2 linked regions of the Daphnia pulex genome follow. The protein of the gene in region 2 purifies or fractionates together with the protein of the main gene of each other region. This does not show direct contact. Links are inferred from orthologs where the notes say so. Each region holds a gene or a part of one and is shown on either strand. Other genes may lie near its edges.

What was found. Proteins that work in one complex are often made in the same cells at the same time.
Region 1: the proteins of lethal(2) giant larvae protein homolog 1-like (region 2) and atypical protein kinase C-like purify together in Drosophila melanogaster (affinity purification with western blotting; 6 studies listed by BioGRID, with this or other methods). This does not show direct contact. The link is inferred for Daphnia pulex from reciprocal best matches to the Drosophila melanogaster genes l(2)gl and aPKC.

Annotation. Positions count from the first base shown.
Region 1 is NC_060022.1:4,022,810-4,033,174, reverse strand, and holds atypical protein kinase C-like, read right to left. Parts: upstream 5,193-10,365; 5' UTR 4,945-5,192; coding exon 4,874-4,944; intron 4,813-4,873; coding exon 4,691-4,812; intron 4,633-4,690; coding exon 4,543-4,632; intron 4,483-4,542; coding exon 4,346-4,482; intron 4,284-4,345; coding exon 3,911-4,283; intron 3,851-3,910; coding exon 3,678-3,850; intron 3,613-3,677; coding exon 3,197-3,612; intron 3,109-3,196; coding exon 2,990-3,108; intron 2,805-2,989; coding exon 2,635-2,804; intron 2,557-2,634; coding exon 2,441-2,556; intron 2,372-2,440; coding exon 2,284-2,371; 3' UTR 1,807-2,283; downstream 1-1,806. Other genes in the region: F-actin-capping protein subunit beta-like, read left to right, coding at 5,541-5,543, 5,666-5,877, 5,941-6,313, 6,387-6,626; eukaryotic translation initiation factor 5A, read right to left, coding at 7,204-7,275, 7,359-7,493, 7,554-7,721, 7,786-7,893; calpain small subunit 1-like, read left to right, coding at 9,246-9,381, 9,445-9,625, 9,944-10,004, 10,120-10,269, 10,334-10,365. UniProt on the Drosophila melanogaster protein: Serine/threonine protein kinase which is required for apico-basal cell polarity in the germ line as well as in epithelial and neural precursor cells, for epithelial planar cell polarity and for cell proliferation.
Region 2 is NC_060023.1:5,190,401-5,200,765, reverse strand, and holds the start of lethal(2) giant larvae protein homolog 1-like, read right to left. Parts: upstream 5,313-10,365; 5' UTR 4,905-5,312; intron 4,838-4,904; 5' UTR 4,824-4,837; coding exon 4,740-4,823; intron 4,679-4,739; coding exon 4,581-4,678; intron 4,470-4,580; coding exon 4,388-4,469; intron 4,326-4,387; coding exon 4,219-4,325; intron 4,145-4,218; coding exon 4,001-4,144; intron 3,940-4,000; coding exon 3,777-3,939; intron 3,711-3,776; coding exon 3,499-3,710; intron 3,292-3,498; coding exon 2,835-3,291; intron 2,764-2,834; coding exon 2,608-2,763; exon of another isoform or gene 2,451-2,607; intron 2,369-2,450; exon of another isoform or gene 2,327-2,368; coding exon 2,174-2,326; intron 2,107-2,173; coding exon 1,888-2,106; intron 1,826-1,887; coding exon 1,396-1,825; intron 1,284-1,395; coding exon 1,081-1,283; intron 1,013-1,080; coding exon 786-1,012; intron 718-785; coding exon 331-717; intron 251-330; coding exon 135-250; intron 2-134; coding exon 1-1. UniProt on the Drosophila melanogaster protein: Essential for the development of polarized epithelia, for cell polarity associated with asymmetric cell division of neuroblasts during development, and for oocyte polarity formation.

The DNA.
Region 1 (10,365 bases), on a different chromosome or scaffold from region 2:
CCGAGTCTCTTCCATGCTCAGCCAGCAGCTCACAGAGGACTTTTTGGCTTTCTCTCGCAGGTCTGCTGCTGCTGTTTTTATTTGTTATTTTTACACCGCCATTTTCTTTCTTTCTTTCTTCCCCCCACGTCTTTTCATCATCCCCGTCTTCTTTATGTAGTTCTTCGCCATTGATTGTTTCAAGAATGGCTCCAAGTCGGCGGCGTCACGGTTGTTGTTTTGCTTTTAGATATTTTATTTTTTCTCTTCTGTAAACTTTCCAAGTTGTCTAGCCTCTCCCGAAATTAATAACGTTAAGAATATAAGGTAAAATGTGATGTCAAACATTGTTCAATTGATTGCAAACGCGATTACGTCGTCGACTCAAAAACGTTTTGTGTGTTTGTTTGTTTTTATCTGTTGCCACGCCAGATGGTTGAACTTTGAGAGCTAAATGAATCATTTGATGTTTTGGGCATGACCAACACAACGCCTTTTGAATGCTGCTACACTCTTAAAATCAGCAGATAAATTCAACACTTTGTTTTACGTAACAGCAGCCATAGACCAGATATTAGACAGGAAGGCAAAGTACACCGGCGGACACTGTTGCCTAGCAAAGGGCAAACACGCTCGCCCAAAATTGTGTTTTTCAATTATTCTGGTTCAAGGACGTTTGTCGATCGATTGGAGAATTCCTCGCGTTCGGGAGAAAAGAAAAAAACATGGCGCCGATTGGATTTTCAGTGTGTGTGTGTGTGTGTACCCCCTCCACGTGCTACCAAAACATGAATTTATGTGTCCTTTTTTTTCTTTTCTCTCCGACTGAATTCTTGACTAACATCGTGGAAATACGAGTCAAATAAACATGTGGCAGCCAAATGGATGCCAAGTTATCACGAAAGCGTCTGTCGTAGGTTTATACCTACATTTTTAAAATGCAGCAGCATTTTTATTATTTACAAGTACGCTTAATACGACCTTTAAGTAGCCGGAGGCCATTTTGGCACCCAAGGTCTACGTGTGTTAAGAAAAAAGAGCCCGAGACGTAACAAATGTAACGGTATAACTTTTTGGGTTGTGTCGCTCCGCCTGCAACCACAAAAATGAAAAAAAAAACGAAACTCGACTAAAACTTGATTGTGTGTGTGAAATCTTGATTACGAAAATTTGTCTAATCTAAAAGATATCCTTCTTAAACAAAACAAGGATATAAACCTGATTTTGTTTTTATTAAGGGGGGGAGAGAGAGGGGCTGATTCTTTTATAAATATTTCCATAAAAGAACCTTTTTCATCGAAATTAAAAGAATGCGCAATGGGAAAAAAAGGATAAGAAAACACCATAGGGTGAGGGACATTTTCCGCGGCCCCGAAAGAATAAAAATAGAGAGCGTAAAATGTTTTCTGGGGTTTTCTTTATTCCTTTACACACACACACAAGACGAGTTTGTGTGTGTGTATCTCTTTAAATGTATAGGGGAATCCAACCGCAAAACGGTCGATGTTCGTTTCTTTCTAGAAAAGAAATGTCCGACAACGACTTCCTCCTACACGCTTTTTTTTTCTTTCCTTTCTTCGTTCGAAAAATTTCAACCAATAAACGAGTGGTTTCGTGCGTGATAAAAACTACTTTTCTCTCATCGATATTTAGTAATAAACCCCTTTTTCCTCTGCATTACATCGTTTAGCATAAAGACAACCAACGATTGTGCTAACGGCACGTCGTACCGTAGAAATGCCTTTCCCATCGAACAACAACAGGTTTCACCAATTATAATATTAAAAGGCCACCACCATTTCTTGACTGTGGATGCCATCTAGCTGATTGTGTCGACATCTTTCTTGTATATTTCTAACAAGACGGAAAAAGGCGATCTGTGTAAGGCGGAAATATAATAATTAACCAGACAGAGATTTTCTTTTTGGCTAAAAGTGACCAAAACAAAATGGCTTTTAAAAGTGACACAAAAAGAAAAGAAGACAAAAGAGATGAAGGCAGTTGTACAACAGATCGAAAAGGTGACGGAGGGAAAGAAAGATGTTCCAATGAGGCAAGAACTGGAATGGACGCAAAGTCGATTAAGACTTGATCTATCATATTTAAAAATACTGGACCGAATAAACTGATGGTGAAAAGGGGAGGGGGAAAAAAACGAAAGAGAAGAAATGGTAGGCTGTTAGAATTTTTGCTGCCGTGAAACCTGCCAAACTTTCCCTATGAAACATGTGTGTGTGTGGTTCCAATTTTTAGTGTAAATCTTATAATGGCATGAAAGCGAATGCTTCGTTTTCTATTCTAATCCTAGACGCAGTCTTCCAATGACATGAGCAAAGGATTGACGTACTCGAAACCTTCAAACTCAGACTGATCGATGCGTTCAATGACCGTCCTGCAAAGCAACAAAAAATAAAACAAAAATAAAAATCGATTCTTAATCGACAGACGATCCATCACTTACTGATCGTCGGGTGTCAGTTGGACTGGTTCGTCTGTGAACTCGGGTGGAAAGTGAGCCAGATCACGGTCGGAATCTAGACGAGGCACGTAAGGTGGAGCCACTTGTTTCTTCTCCAACTGTGCACGTATGAAAAAAGATTAGTAATCTGTTCCTAGAATGTGGATTAAACGTGTAAAAGAGAGAGATGTTCATACCATTTCCCAGTCGACTGATTTAAAGAATGGATGATGGACGATATCGACAAAGCCCGTTTCTTTTCGACAACCCAAACGATCAGCTGGATTCTTATTAAGAAACCCTTTGAGGACAGAAGAAGCCTTCACAGATAACGACCTGGGAATGCGAATCGTCTTTTCCAGGATGACTGCAATATGAAAAGAAAAGAAAAAACACACAATGTTTTACAAACAACACATTTACAATCCTCTCAAGTGGAAAAAGGTCACGCGATCTTGATAAGACCCCGTTTTTCTTGCGAACTTTATCAAATGGACTCGCGAGTTTCCACAAAGCAAATATTATAATAAAGAAGACAAGATGAAGCTCTACCGTGAAACAGATAATCTTCAGTGTTTTGGTCAGGATTCTCTGAAGCGCCGACGATGTCGAAAGGTGAACGACCGGCCAACATTTCATACAACAATACACCCAGCGCCCACCAATCCACACTGATAAAAACGAAGAAAAAGGTTAGACATTTTCGCTACAGGGGAGTTAGCGTTCCAGATTCTATTGGGTTTAATTTGTAAACATTACCTGAAACTGTAGTCTTCTCCGCGCAGAATTTCAGGAGCGATATAGTTGGGCGTACCACAAAAGGTAGACGTGGTATCACCCGGACGGATGCCCTCTTTGCACATTCCGTAGTCGGTGAGTTTGATATGACCTTCATGGTCCAGTAGGACGTTATCTAGCTTCAGATCACGGTAAATAATTCCTTTCTCGTGTAGGAAATTGAGCGCCAAAGAAATTTCAGCCGAATAGAATCGAGCGTGCTCCTCAGGAAGTCGCCTTTGGCGCTGCATGTGGAACATTAAATCACCACCACGTACGAATTCGATGACAAAGAAAAGGCGTGACGTCGTCTGGAAACACGAATGCAAGCCAACCAAGAAAGGATGGTTGGATGCCGTCTCAAAGACATGTTTTTCCGTTTGAACCCAGTCAATATCCTGAAAGTCGAGTTGTTCAATTAGAAGAAGTTGTTGATAAAATCAAAGAATCAATTTTCTTATACCTCATCATCGGTAACAAGTTCCTTTTTGATTACTTTCATGGCGTAAACCCGACGAGTTCGTCGTAATTCAACCATCAACACTTTAGCATAAGAACCACGACCAATCACACGAATCAATTCAAAATCCGCCATCGAATACGGACGTTGAACAGCACCACCTTCGACACCTTCTTCTAATATTTTAAAGTATACAATTAAAAATCTGAATTGTTTTGTATGGAAATATAAAGTACCTGGACTTCCATCAACCGGAACACTCACACTGTGAGACTCAAAAATAGGTTGTACTATTGGCGGTGCGGACGGTGCTTCGGTACCATCACCATTCTGTCGCAGCGCTGTCGGGGGTTCTCCGGCATTAACAACAGGGCTTATAGATGGAATAGCAGCAGCGGTCACTGCGGACCCTGAACTGGTATTGAGCGCGCTATTTGACAGTAGATGAACCTGGGATGGAGTGTTCAGAGCGGCCACTTGCTCCGTGTTGCAACTGATCTTGATAAGCTTGTGGCACTTTTTGTGGATGAGCAGCTTGCACTGAATGCATTTGAATCCTTGCCGACCTAGACCCCAGATACGGTCGTGACAGTAAGCGCAAGAAGCTCTCTGTCATAAAAATGGAAAGTAAGGATTACTGGGAATCAATGGTGTTGCATGGATAAACTTACGCGATTGAAACGTTTTGCCTGGAAAAGATGTCCATTGACTCTGTACAGTTTCCGCCATCTACGAGCACCACGTCGATAAATACTTTTATCTTCTCCAAAACATGGAAGCCCTGGTGACACAGGGACACTAGGGAAAACTGAATTTTAAAAAGAGTAATTAAATTTCAAGTTTATACACAAGTAGAATTAAAAAATACCATGAATAGTGATTTCTGAATCGTTGTTCACTTCATACAGACGAATAGCTTCATCAATTTCAACTTGTGAAGAGATAGTACATGGATCACCTAAAGGGATGTAAATCATAGTAAAAGAAAACTGTGTGGATTGTATGTGTTGTACAACCTTCTTCGTCAATCCATTTCATGGTAAACTCTTGATCAGGAGAAAACTGGCAAATGGCTCGCATCTCATTTTGGAGATCATCCAACAGGATCTCAGAGTTTATGTAAGTCACGAGAATTTTCCTGCAAAATAACTAATGAGGTAAGTACATACAAAGATTGAAAAAAAAAACATGAAGTATACCCGCTGAAAGCTGCCTTGACTTTGATTTCGGCCTTTTCCCCATCACTCACGAGGGTGGTGGGCATCGTCATTTAAAACAACAGGTGGGTTGGGCACAAATTGGCCGTTTCCTCAAAATTACAAACAAGTCCTCACGGCAGCCGGACTATTGTAACCATTTGAGGCTATCACTGATTGTGAACCACGATTCCACTATAACTTCTTTAAACTTCTAACAGAAAACACTTTTAGTTTTAACCTAAAAATATGAGTCAGGCGGTTAATACTGGCAAAACTGACGTTTCGAGGATTAACCTTCTATGCAGCCGCCAGGAGGCGTTCTCCGAGATTGATCAAAACTTGATTGATTTTAAAGAAAAATCGTTTTTGTAATTGTTTTTTAAATATTCTCAGCTATTATTTAATGACCAACAACACTTCCGTCATTTAATATGTGGATTTATCTCGAATTCTAATTCGAATCCGCAACCGTTTTTTTATTTCCCAGCAGGCAGAGATTTTCATTGCTTAGCGCAACTTCGGATTCAGAACATACATTTCTGTTTGTCACCGCCACTCATTTTTCACCTCGCCCATTTTTTGGTTTTTCCTGGGAAAAAAGGCCGGAAATCCTTTTCAGTTCCATTTTATTATCTCAAAAGTTTGTCGTTTCTGTCCATTTTGAACAATGGTAAGTTAAAAATCGAATTTATTCATATTTTCGGCTAGTATTAAACCTCCAATTTCAGAGTGAAAATTTTATTTGACATTTGACTTGTCTAATAATATTTCTCTTGTTATTTGTTTCTGCAGACGGAGGAGCAATTGAACCGAGCGTTGGACTTAATGCGACGTCTCCCTCCTCAGCAAATTGAAAAAAACCTGAGTGACCTGATTGACCTAGTTCCTGAACTGTGTGAGGATCTTCTATCATCAGTGGATCAACCACTTAAAATTGCACGTGATAAGAGAGAAGGAAAAGATTATCTTCTCTGTGATTATAACCGTGATGGAGATTCTTATCGGTAACAGTATTTACAGTTGTGTTGAAAACTTGACCCTAATAATAACAAATGTTGATCTGTCAGTTCTCCATGGAGCAACACCTATGAACCACCTCTTGAAGATGGAACACTGCCCACGGACAGGCTACGTAGATTGGAAGTAGAGGCCAATGCTGCATTTGATCAATACCGTCAGATGTATTTTGAGGGTGGAGTCTCCTCTGTGTACCTATGGGACCTGGATCATGGATTTGCTGGAGTCATTCTTATAAAACGAGCTGGTGATGGCGCTCGAAATATTAAAGGGTGCTGGGATTCGATTCATGTCATTGAAGTGCAAGAAAAGTCTACCGGCCGTTCGGCTCACTATAAGCTTACGTCGACAGTCATGCTATGGCTGCAGACCAGTCGTCCCGGTTCCGGAACGATGAACCTTGGTGGAAGCTTAACGCGTCAGGTAATATTATTGTTTACTTTTATGACCATGAGATATTTCCCTTAAATTGAACCGATTTTTTCTCTCGTGTTAGATGGAGCAAGACGGAACAGTAAGCGAGCCTACGTCGCACATCGTAAACATGGGTCGTCTTGTCGAAGATATGGAGAACAAAATTAGGCACACTTTGAATGAAATTTACTTCGGTAAGACTAAGGATATTGTCAACGGGCTGCGTTCCATTCAGCCTTTGGCCGATCAAAAGCAAAAGCAGGCTTTCAGCGAAGATCTGGCTAATGCTTTGCAGAAAAGACAAGGAAAAAGCGATCCTTAACTGATACATAATATTATAAATTGCATTTTCCTATTATTTCCCTTATTCAACCAAGTTTTTCCCCTCCTGTAAAGTATAACATCCATTACCCAATCAAGTTGTTGCCCGTTTTGCTTCAATTCACATGTTGAGTGATTGGAAAATAAAAGTTTGAAGTAAAAATCGTTAAATTTAAGGCTCCATTATTTTTGAAGTGCTTGAAATTGGTTTATTGAACTCTTTCGTTTTGCTGCATGGGAAATGGGTATGAGTAAGGTTTAGGTTAAACAACTATCTTGCAATCAACTGCAGAATAGCGTAGTGTTCATTAACAAGTCTGTCTATTGACCCATTGGGTCGAACGGGGGAGGCAATAATAAACCAGAACAAGAGATGGACTTATCCAATGAAACGAGGCAACAAGGTCAAGATACCCATTTCTCCCCACGATTTACATCAATCGGTAGTAGGCAAAATTAAAAGAAAGAAAGTAGAATTTAAATCCAATATCCACAGCTGTTTCCCGTTTATTTTTTTGTGTTTCTCTCCATTTTTATTGGTAACCAGTTGGAAGTGAAACTTCACAAATTTGTGTGAATTACTTTTCGGCAGCTGTGTTGGCTTTAACGGCAATCACACACTCTTCGCCGCAGGCTTTCAAAACGGTACACTATAGAAGAAAAAACAGGTGATTATACATCCACTCTTAATATCAAATTGAACAATACATCGCATAGGGTAAAATTAGCTTACCAGAAGTTCGCGACCATTTTCGAAATCAGCCCTGATTTGGTTACCCAAGTCTCCTTCTGGAACCTTGAGATCTTCACGCAAATCTCCGTTGTCATTCATCATTGAAAGAAAGCCATCACCAGATATGTCAATGAGCTAAAACAAAAATTTTGTTAATTCCAAACTAACATAATCAAAGTTGTAATTTTATATTACAGTGAAATCCTCCCTCTTGACAACAGGGACATCCATGTTGTGGGTGGAAGGGCAAATATCTTCAAGTTTCTTGCCATTGAAAATGTCGATACCAACCATGTGAACCTTGGCGTGGCCATGTTTGCCAGTCTTGGATGTGGACATCTCAACAATCTTGCAAGGCCTTGCCTTCAAATGAAATTCACTTTAAGTACAATGAAGATTAAAATAATTTCTATTATTATATAATCACCTTCAACATGACGAAACCGTTCTTGCGAAGAGCAGAGCATTGCATGGGAAATGTTGCTGAAGCTCCAGAATCCCCTGACTCGAACTGAGTGTCTTCAAGCTCTGCCATGTTGTACAAGTTCAGGGGAATGGATATATAGAATCACTGTGACAAAAAGAAAGTGATTAGAAACATTCACATCAATGGGGTAGCGATTTCAGTACTATCTTCTATATTGATCACTGCCGCAGCAGCTGACTACTATAGTTATTACAACGGCGTTAAGTTTAATTTGACAACAGTACTAAATACCCAAAGAAATATAACTGAAAAAAAGGAATAAGGATATGGAATCCAATTACATGAGAACACTACTGTAGGCTAATGAATATGCAACAATAATATGTGGAAAAGGCCGGTTAAAATCCCAACATGGCGCCCAAAGTAACCTCATGTGCCATGTGTCATTCCTACTTCGACCACCAGCGTTTACCAAGCCCAAAAAACACAACTATCAGAAATACAAACGTCAACAACACGATTAAAGTGAACACAAATTTGTAACGGAGACTTTGGCTATTAAACTAACTACAATTACCGATATCAATATGCGAAATAAGACTAAGGAAAAAGGTAGAATATCAATTCAATACTTACGTTCTGCCACGAGCGGCACGGGAAAGACAATTCGGAGTCTATTGCCTGGCACCAGCTAGATAGATGGCGCCGTGGTGGAACAGCGCCACCGCTAGCCCCCTAGGCAACAACAACGTAGACAAATGAAGAACGCTAGCCGTCGATTTTTGGCGGCATGGCTGAACAACGCATTTAGCCCTGGAGGGAAATGTTTTCTCGAGCTCATCGCCACCATCATGGAAATCAAAACCATTGAAAAAGTTAAAAGTTAAAAAAAAAAATACAGATTTCTATTGTATCATAAAAATAATTTTAAATCGTTGTTAAGAAACCAACGCCATTAAAAGCTTGGCAACACGATTGTATTGGCGGCAAACGATCACAATTTTAATTCTGTTGTGTTCTGCTGGTATTCGTTTGATTTTTAAAATTCGTGTTCTTAGTTGCCTAACTCTCTTTTATTTTCTCTAGACATTACGACAACCTGAGTCGCCCCGTTATATTTCCTTTCTTGTGTTTTTTTCATTCTTAAATGTCAACACCGTGACGTCCATTTTTGTTCAACGTTGATGCGGCAATGTGTTGTTCGGTCAACGTTCGCTACTCTCGCCCGTTAAACTCGCATTCAAGAGATTTAAAATACAGAATAAGGATCGAAACAATGATGAGACGTGACGATCAAAATAATTCAAATGAATTCAAACAAAGAAATTTTTATTTTTCAGTCCTTTCACCTTAACGGAAATATTTTTACCTGGGCATTATGAGAAACCCTATAAATAGTAGAGGGATGATGGTCCCTCGACGTGATATCAATTCGGATCGAGGACAAGTCAAGTAACAAGATGCAGTTGTGGTTATCTCCTCTGCTCATCGTCGTCATCGTGAGTGGAGATTCGGGAACGTACGACCCTGACGAAGCCTGGCGTCAAATGGTCGGACTAACCGATCATTCGGCTACATTTTCAGCTATCACGTCGTGTAAGTATTGAATTACATTTTAAATTAAATAATTGATATAATCAATTTGATTGGACTATGCAGACGATGAAACGAGTTCTCAATCATCGAGATCCACCGACTTGAAACCGGCCGCTTCTTCTTACGGAAGTGGAGGCTATGGGGGCGGGGGCTACGGCGGAGGAAACTACGGCGGAGGAGGCTATGGCCACGGAAGTGGAGGAGCAAGTTACGGTGGACACGGGGGAGGAGGTTACGGACACGGGTATGTAATTTAATATTTTTGTTTACTATCAAGAAATCGATACTTTGATCCGACCGAGTCAAGTGCCAGTTTTGTTTTCAAAATGAAATTGACGTATCATAAAAATTAGGTTAAACACTTCGGCCGTTTCTCTGTTGGGATTCCTTTACCTACTCAATTTGATCCAGGTAAAAACCAATAAAGGCAGGTCTGAGGTCATCACACAAGTGATTGCATTAGTTTATCACTAGCCACGCCCTGAAATCTTCTTCTTCTTTGCTTAACAAACTGAAAATACCAATTAGATATCAATGGCTCCTTTTCTCTTGATTCTAATAGGTCAAATGGCAGCAATGCGGTAGCTTTACTGGGACTTTTGCTTCTGATCAATCTCTTGCGGGTCGGTATCAATTTCCACCTATTAATCCTTTCATCCTTGTTTGCACGGGAATGATTCTGTGATTCGCGGTTTCACAAATACTTGAATCATCTAACCTTCCGATTCAATTTTTTAGGACATTCTGAATCAAATAACGACGACGGCTGCCAGTGGCCGGAAGAAGAAATCTATTCAAGATCCATTTCGGGAATGGTTTTCCAATCTCGGCCAAGGAGGAATTCAAACATTGAATTATGAAATCGTCGCCACCGTTCTCCCGCTTCTAGTAATTTGAATCTAATTATTTGTCTTTGGATTGAGAATCAATGACAAAATCTTTTAAAAAATAGAGCGAGTTCACCGAACATGGTGATAACAAACG
Region 2 (10,365 bases):
ACTAAAATAGATGAAATATTGATTAATAGAATTCTTTTTTGTTTATATTATCCGAGTTAAATTCGTTAGTGTTCAAAGTCAGCACTAGTTAATGTAAGGTTCAATAAAATCAAATGAGACAACTTCTTGATTACCGTTAGAGATTTTTGAAGTTTCGTGTAAACTTAAAACAGAGGATATTTCTGTTTTTACTTGTTCAATGCGAGTTTCCGATGCAACTTCTGTGATTCTACATTCGTCCAAACTAAGGCTTCAATAGTCAAAAGATTTCATGCAAATAAAAAATGTTAAGAAATGTTTTTCTTTCTATGAATATAAATGGAAACCTACACTATATGATCTTTGACAGAGTCCACCGTCATATCTCCAAAGCTGGTTTCCGGCTCAACACTTACGATTGTTGAATTGTTAATTTCATTATTGCAGATATTCTTATCGTTTTCTCGGTCTTCATTTGGATTACTCGTGTTTGAAATGACAGAAACGTCAGAGAATTCAGTTTCCATTACTACTTCTGGCTTTTCTTCTTTTGACGTACAAATCTTGATCACCGCCTGAGAGGAGGATTCCACGGGAGCCTGGGTATTTTTCATCCCATTCACTTTACATTTTAACTGGAGGGAATTACGAGCACTCAACGCAACACGTTGTAATTCACTGGAAGACAACATGTAAAATGCTTCTCCTTGATTTGTAAGGACAACAGTACTGGTAGCACTATAAATGATCCGAAATTGCTGATGAAATTTAAGAAAACATTAATTAAGAAAAAACCTTTATCTTACTGTATATCTTCCTTTCGTATAGCCTGTGCATTCATTTGTCGCCGCAGTTCCGGGAGACTTAAAATGTGAAAATCTCCTTGATTGGACAGACACACCAAACAGTTCTCTTTATAGGACGGATCCGATCGAGCAGTAAAGGGAACAACCGCAACGCGCCTAACTTTGCAACCAGTGTAAGCAGTTAATTTGTACTTTCCATACGGGCGCAGGTTTGGAAGTGTGAAAACCTAGAAGCAACAAAAATAATGCCATTCATTACATATGGCAATTAATTCCTCGCATACTCATCACCCACTTTGAACTGTTCTTCCGACGAAATCACTACGCGATGCGGAGGACAGGATTCAGAAGTCGATTTAATCCCAGAGTTTTCAAACGATTCCCCAATAGCTGCATAAGAAGCATCAATTATGTTAATCGATACAACAGGTGCTCGATGTTTCAATTGAATCTCTTTTGCAAGTTGTGCGTTCACGGGCTCCACGTGTCGTCTATTTCCTGAAATATTTAAAGCAAATAAATATTAGACAGAAGGAAATGAGTGCATAGTTAGACACAAATAAAGAAAAAAGGCCACAGCAATAATATAAAAATTAAAATGTCAACATACCCGTCTGTATGTTAAGGCTAAAAACATATATAGCTCCGCTATTTGTTCCGGCCCAAAGAGTTGCGGTAGCATTGGAAGACTGACTGATTACGTAAGTTTTGACAAGCAGTAAACAACGAACCATGCTGCCCATACCGTCATCTAACATAACATTTCTAGCTTCAATCTGCCTCTCAACAGGCCGCACTTCAGCAGCTATAGATGGCCCAGCATTGTTTATAGCGTTACTATCTTCGACCTTTGATATCGGTGAAGTTGGTGCACATTTAGGGCCAGCGGAAGGACGCTGGCTACGCCCTTTACGCAGCCGCCTGAAGGATTCTCTGAGGGATTTTTTAAAAGATTTTCGTCGTGACATTGGCTGCTCTCCAGTTCCTGACACATCATTCGGATTAAGGGTGCATTTTGCAACTACCTCCTTTTTAACGGTCTAAATTTTTTTGTAAAGATTAAAATGGATTGCGAACGATGACCATTTCATTCAATACTTACTATATCATAAAGTGTTAGTCCATGAGCTGTTCCTACAGCCAATACTGACCACTCTGCATTTAACGCTAATGCCGTGGCTGCAGCGGGAGGATGAAGCTGTAGGACAGAAGTTGGCTGGAAGCCTGGTTTAAAGGACAGTAAACCTTTCCTTACTACTAACTTATCGTGGCCTTTCCACACAAAATTATCCCGATCTGAAACTATGTTAACGAGTACAATCTACGTCAAGAAGAAAAAAATATATAGAATATTGAATTTAAAGTAAAGTTTTGCAAAATATAAGTACCGGGACTTCTTTTTCCGATTGCATTTCGAATAATTCGGCAACGACAACTTGACCAGCCGTCCCAGCAACTGTTAACAATCCAGTGACAGGGCACAGGCACAATTTCTTAACAGCCAAACGTGGGTCATCTGAGTAAGGATCGAATACTCCAATCTGAACTCGCATAATATAAAATTTCAATTAAAAAATAAGAAGGTAAGGAATAATTGACACTTCTGTTAAATACTATCACTTGGCACCACCAACTAAATACTAAAAAATGTCTATCATAATGAAGGACTCTATACAAGAAAAACAGATAAAAATGGAAAAGGATATAATCCAGTCTTGGGCAAAGCAAAATGTATAAAAAATAATAAACTCCATTGGAACAACATGACTTAACTTAAAAATACAAAATGGAAGAACTTTAAGACGTAGTCCAATAACATTACCTTACGAAACGGCGGCCATTCATCCTCATCAATTTCTCTTTCATCACTTTCCGCTGTGCAGTCTAAATCGTCACTCGAGAAACATGAAGACGTTGAAAATTTCGATATTTGAAACAGGGAGGCAGTGCTTGCATCCCAAAACCGAACAGATCCATCCTAAAAGAAATCCGTTAAGTTTTATTTTATTTTTTCTAAAAAGTTCACATCTATTGTCATTTTCTACATACCTCGTGCCCGGTGAGAAGTAATATACGATGAGAAGGTTGATCAACTTGTTCGCTGAAGGATATTCCTCCGTTAATAGGCCATGGGCGGGTACTCACTTTCGATGATGGTGTCATTCCTTGTGGATTTGCTTTGATTTTATCATACAATTCAGATGTTACTGTAACTACAGTTTGAGCTGTAACAGCACTGCAGTGAAGTGAAGCTAAATAAGGCAGGGAAAATGTAGGCCAGCCCGTGCTAATCAAATCGATCACAATTAACTCTTCTTCAGCTAGCACTACAAGAGCTTCTGCCTGGCCGGTAGTAACATCACTGATTAAACAGAAATCTATCACTTTCGAAGTGAAATCGTAAGTAGCGTGAGTATTTTCCCCTTTTACGACAGAAAGAGTATAGCGGTCGCCATAGGCAAGTCTCGGCATTCCACCACCAAACACAAAGATTCCGCACTCCTCCCTGAAAAAAATAAAGTTTGAATTTATTGACAAAAAGTTGGTAGTACTGCATTTAAATTTTGCTGTCAAGAAATATTGTGAAGATATGTGATAAAATGAATTAAAAACTACTGCTGAGTAAACTACCACAAATAAATTGTATCCAAGTACGGCAGTTGATAACTTATTCAACAACTACTCAACAAGTCTCAATAACTATTGAACTTACACATCAGTGTTACTCCAAAGAATTTTTGTGATGGCTTTGCATGGATCAGGACCATAGTGTGATATAGTATTTGGCTCTTTCTTTACAAACATATCTGTTTCTTCTTGTCCAAGAGTCCATACCATGTAAGACCCATCATTATGAGCAGAAACAAACTTCTTCCCATTGGGGTGCCAACTCACACTTTCCAATTGTTGAGAAGCAACAAAAGTCTGCAAATGTAAATAATTTTTCAAATAAAATGATGGCATTTTAGATAAAACTGATAAAATACATACTTGAACAGCAGACAGTGTTTTACAATTCCATAGCACAAGCAATCCACGTGTATAACCAATAAGAATGTGATCTGCACTGTTTGGCTGTTCACTAACACACTCAACAGCTCCTGGGTTCACTTTGAAATCTTCTGTAACACTGTTAAAATACGAAACCAAAAATCTTTTTGTACAATTCGTACAAGGCAGATGGTGAAATGCAAAAATAATATGTAAGTACTTACTTCTGCATTACAACGTCAAGATAAATAACAGAATCAGTCATTTCAAGCTTCAGCAAATCCATGATGTAGATATTTCCATTCTCTGTACCTATTAACAAATGTTCTCCACTTGATTCAATACAACACGCTGATATCTTTTTTAACCTGCAAAATATAAATGATAAATTATGAATTATAAAACCTTTATAAGTAGGCCTACATTAAAAAATAAATCTTACTTTCCCTCCAAAGATTGTGAATGAACACATTTTAAAGCAGGGCTACCGTCTGTAGATATATCCCAAAGTTGTAGGGAATTGTCTTCACACACTACAATGACACGCCCCTGTTAAAAAAATAAATAAATCAGAGATGAATAATAGCAATAGTTTTTATGCGTAAACATACATGCCCAGGGACAAAATGTAAGCTGCAGATAATTTTATCTTTTGGTAGCTGTCCATAAAACTCCACTCCAGGAGCTCCAAAACTGAAAGTTCAAGTAGGGGTGTGGTACAAAAAAAATTGAAAAAAAAGCATTTAATAAATACAATAATAAAAAAATATGTGTGAACAATTGTGAATGAAAAATGAAACTTACATTTTTAAGGCACCTGTTCGCGTCCCCAAACATAGAAGCCGTAACACAGGATCCCATGCCAATGAAGTGGGTTTACTCGGAAAACCATGTTGTGCTGTCTGTTATCAAATATTGGATGATGCAATGGCAATTAATATTCATAATCATGATAGTAAATACTTTTTGGAACTGAAAAAGCTCTTTCTGTATTTTCAATCTTTCAGCAGACTGATGTGCACCTTTCCCCCAGAAGAACTTGAACATTTTTAGCCGCCAAGCTGTAACAGACAAAAATCACAACACAAACTTTAACAAGCAAATACAAAATAAATAATTTCTGCTAACCTGTGCCCACTTAACTCTAGACAATCACAAATACCAACTTATAATATAATAAATCGAAGGAGTTGGAAATATGTAGAGGAATTGCTGTGGATGGTGTACTTGTTGAATTGGATTATATGATCACTGTAAATCTAATAACTGAATAATAACTGACAGCTCGGGAAGTCGGCCGGGGTGTTTCAGATGAGACGCAGATGGCGTCCTACATAGTCTCTTTAGTTCTTGTACTTAAAACTAGATGGCGAGTAGTACAATACAGGTGCACCCAGAAGTTGGCATGATGTTATCCCTGAGGCTAAGGCTTTAGCCTGCCGAGGGCCTCCTAAAAGGGTTCCCGTAGAGCTCAAAAGTCCCAATGGAAGGAAATGGGAAAAGGCGGAGCTTAGTAGAGAGAAAAACTACCCCCACGTGACCGAAATCGGGCCACGCTATTGGCTCCCGTCTCGATTCACCGATCGATATAAAATCGGAAATTCAGTGAAGCCTATACTCCCTGCCACGCGAAAAATGGTTAGGACAAATTTGACTCGTTTGGAAATGCCATCCAAATTCTGGAGTGCTTCTCTCCCGTGAACGATACGCTGTCTTTCAGAGTGCACATAATTCAAATCAAAATCTGTATACACATAAAAATTGTAAATTCATTAAGACTACTGACTGGAAGACAAATCAAGATAATGTTTTCAGAGCTGATGCCACTGACACTGATTTCATTTGAAAATGATTCTTGTTGATTTTTATATGCACTCGGTATCTTGTATTGTTCTTGATACGCCACTATCGTCAAGCGTGATAAGTTATCTGTCTTAGGCACATATTTATCACTAAAGCACAACGGACATTCTAGTTTCAATGCTACTTCAAACTCTTTTATGTAGTTTCTTACAGAAGTTATTGTTTGTAGGGGAGAGCGGGGCAGGAGCGGGGTTATAGTCTGGGAGCTGGGTGACCAAAAAATGTTTTTTCTTTAGCAAAAGGTTTGAAGCTAAAATATGGTTAGGGGGGGGGGGGGGGGGTATGACGCACACGAAAAGCAAAGTTTGTCGACTGGCGGCCGGGGCGTTCAAGCGTGACGCGATCCCGAAGTCGGCGGGAACCGTAAAAAAATACAATTTGTTTAGAAAATCTGAACTATATCTTAAAAAATAGAGGGATATCAACTTTATTTAATTTCCGACAGACAGACGTCATAATCTGGGGCCTTGGGGCCATCAGACGTCGGTGTGTAAGAAATTTTAGGAAATTTCAGTAAATTGTGAAAATGGCAACGCTGCATCCTAAGCGCCTAATTTTAAATAGAGAGATTTGGGGAGGATCTGTGAGTTTTTAACTAAGTAAATGTGAACAGAAAATGCATTTTTCGGTTTTTTAAATAAGATTATGCATTAATTTGGTTGAACCGATCACTTTTTGATTATTTGGTTTGTGTTATTGGCAGTTATAATTTCTTCCCTATATATTCCCAGCTTTTTTTCTGCTCCTCTTTCGTGAGCGCATATCGAACGTCACGGTAAACCCTTGACTAACAGACATTATGCTTTTCTCCCCTTCTCCGTGGTTATGTTGACCATCCGCCGGCCTTGGCCGTTACCGCAATCGTCCACCTTGTAGGCGTCATTCGGTCATCCGCGTAACCATATTTTAGCTTCAAACCTTTTGCTAAAGAAAAAACATTTTTTGGTCACCCAGCTCCCAGACTATTATGATGGACGGATCCAGCATTGGACAAATGATACTGTGACTAAACTAGCTATCTAGAAATTAATTTAATTTTAAAAAATTAATCCCTGAGGGATTTAGTTCACTAAATAACCGAAGGTTTAGAGGTCTTTATAGCAGCATAGGCTCCTCCTCCATCGGTCGACCTGAAAGGCTTTATTGGGATTTTTTTTCAACCAATTGGAATCGTGGAAAATGAAAATGGTCATTAATTACGAAATAATCATTTTTCCAAGGTAAAACTGGTAGATTTACATTATGGCAAATGTTTTAGATGTTTTGTAGTTAATATGTTTCATTCAAAAAAAGGAAAGTGAATGTAGCGTAGCTATAGCATATGCCCCCAATAGATATATCATGTATCCCGTAGTAATCCGATATACCACGCGCTGCTATATAACGCGCTGCCCCTTGTAGTAAACATCAGTTCAGTTCTATTCACTGTAGTCACGAATACACATGTGAGAATATTACAGATAGGTACGATTTGTTTAAAACTCTGAAATAAATACAGCGTATTTTAAATGAGGTTTTATTTATCCTCTTTCTTTTTCTTCCTGAATTTCTGATTAATTTTGCGAGTTTTATGGGAAAAACCAAAAAATGGGAATCGGAAAAAAAAATTTATGTTTAGTTTTCAATTTTTTTATACTTCTATAAAACCCAGATAGCTATTTCCCGAGCAGAATTTTTCCTATGAATTTTGTAGAAAAAATGCATTTTTCGAATGGATTTACTGTTTGAAATCAATTTTGAAAATGTAAAAGAGACACGTGCATTCTGCACTTGTTTACACTATTTTACAATAAAGTAACTATATAAATGTTCATTAAAAATGCGTTCGAAGATCCCATCAAAATCAGCAATTAATCTGTAAGGGAATACCGGCTACATGCATATTTATGACGCTTATGGCGATGTTTAAAGAGTATAATGATAACAGAAAAGACAAAGAGATGTTTTACTCCGGGATTCTCAAATGTATTGTCCTATTGCTTAAACTGAAACGTCATAAAATTCTTAAATGAGCAATGAAATGAGCAATTAAACACGGGATGTACTTGAGGAATCAATAACTGCTTAACACAGATGACCTGTAGACAAAAAAATTTTATTGAGCATATAGCGAGCGATAAATCAATAATTTTTGTGGTGTAGGTACAACGTACTTGTACATAAACCGCTAATTTAGTTCAAAATTCAGGATGGCGTTGTACAGTTCTGCCATTCTGCTGTCTACAGCGAGTTGGGTTTTACGATCGGCTCTGTGCCCTTCTACCTCGTCTGGGACTTCGATTTGATTCAATTCTTTGTTTTTTAACTCGAACGACGAAGATGCGACGAGCGCTTTGGATGGTTCCTATTAGCTCTTTGAAGTCCACTTTAGGTGCCTTATTGTTGATTTCCCGTATGATGTTAATAATAACTAATAAAAAATATATTATCAATAACAAGTTATGTGAGGACTTGAGGGAAAAACTAACCTCCCATAACTGCAATCAGATTGGTCAGATGACCGAATCCTGGACGCCTGTCGTTTCCTCTTTTTTTCCATTGAATCTTTGATCACAATGAATTGGTGAAGAGTTTGCTCATCAACATCTTCGATATTTGATCGCGAGATGACATGGTTTTCAAGATTTTTGAAAAAAAGGCACACTATATTTTAAACAAATTGCATGGTAAGGTTAGAGTAAACATATAGGTGCTTTTATAAAATACAGCCAATCTTACCATTGCAATCGATAGATCGTTGTTGGCTAAAGCCGAATCGAGATCTTCAATTTGGTTGTAGTGTTGAAGGGGCAGCTTCACATTAGATGTCACAAATTTTTCATAGTGGTGGAAGTGCTCCAATATAACGTCCCCAACAGTCAAATCGGCACTCTGCTGCCCGCTATTTCGTCGACCGCTACTTTTAAGTCGACTTGAAAAGGAGTTATCTGTAAATGAACAATATAATGATGAATCATGACCAGCGCTTTAATATAATGAAATATGACACGGTTACAACCTGGTCACGAAGGATAAAGAGATGTTTGATGTGGAATAAATGGGCGTCTAGGCTTGTTTTGTGTGTCATAATGTGTCACGCAGCATTTGCCAGTGAACATAAGCTGCCACTAGAACTTCCTTTGAATTCCTTTTAGCATGCACAGAGAGTTAGAGTAAATCCAAAACTTTCTCGACATCTTAAATTTTCAACTTTACCTGGGAAAGTTCTTGGTATGTCGAACGATCAACAGAACTTTAAAGTTTGGCACAACAAGGCTCTTCTCAAAAGGGTTTTACCACATTTCGTGCTAATAGGCCAGTGAATCTGAAAAGAACAAAAAAAGGAAATCATAATGAGAATCTATCTGTAAAAGTTGCAGTACTACTAAGTTATGCACCAATGAATATTTTGGATCAAGAACCTCCGATAGTTCACTAAAGACCGGCTTCTGGAGGGAAAGTATTGTGCCAAAAAAAATCGGCAACAAGACCAAATTTAGACTGGAGCTAATAGTTAGCAATACCAGGATTCCACACCATCAACACACGTGAAATTCAATAGATCTCACATGGGAAGCAAAATGTGGCAGCCAGCGAGTAAACTAATATGAACAAACATTCCCAGAAATTAAGATCCAAGAAAGAGGATGGGGGACAATCGAGGAGTATTCCTTGCTGGCATCAGCATGGCTAGCATGTTTTCAGTCAGAATCTAAACAAAGCACAAATGAAATAAATAAAATGCCGTAATAAACAGACAAATGAGCATACATTTGACACACAATGATTAGGTAATGGAGGAATACCAGCATAAAGCAATTAGATTGGGATGTTGCGTGCTCTGTGAAAAATATGTATTACATTAATGACAATATATAAATTAAGAAAGCATACCAATCTTCACCTTTTCTAGGCAGCACATTGGAATGTTTACAATGTGTCACTAACTCCATGATAAAATAGCTTGCCAACACTCTGTGTATGTATTCGAGTCAACACTTTGGTCCTTTGGTCCAGATCCTGATTTGACAGATAGCCAGTGCTGCCACTTCTGAAATAGCAAAGTCGTGCAGGGTTGCCTAAAAAGTCCCGAAAATCCGTCCGTTTTTTTTTTTTTTTTAAATCCTGCACTTTATCTTGCACGATTATCTTCAAAATCCCGCAAAATCTTGCAAAAAACAACAAAAAACCCGCATAAATCTCACACGATCCAACATAATTTCCTAGTTATCCTAGTATATTTGAAGTCTTTTCTTGTCAGACAGATGACAGTAAAACATTATTCTGATACTGTTGACCGACAGTTAAAAGCTAACGACGGGAGACGGTGATGAAAGTTTTAAATTAAAATCTCGAGTTTCCAACGCTACCATTAGTTAATGGTGGCACTGGCTTTTTTTTAAGGCGTCTTTAACCATCCCTTCAGGAACTTCGATGGATGCGCTTGAAGCTTGTTTGTTTTTCAACCATTTCTGCGCCAATATAAGACTGGAGAGGGACACATTGCGCTGAGAAACGGTCGAAGAAAAACAGTAAAGTAGTTTTGTCTGGGAAAATACGCAAGAAAGCATTCTTAGTTTGCATTTTTGAAATCTATATGCTGTACATGTTTTACAAAGACGAGAGGCATAAGGTGCATCTGCATTTCTGTAGTTAATGCAACGACCAAAGTAGAGTTAGTAATACAGTCATATGTATCGGTGAAGAGGTTAGCGCACAGCGTTTCTGTTCTTAAAGTCAAAGGTTC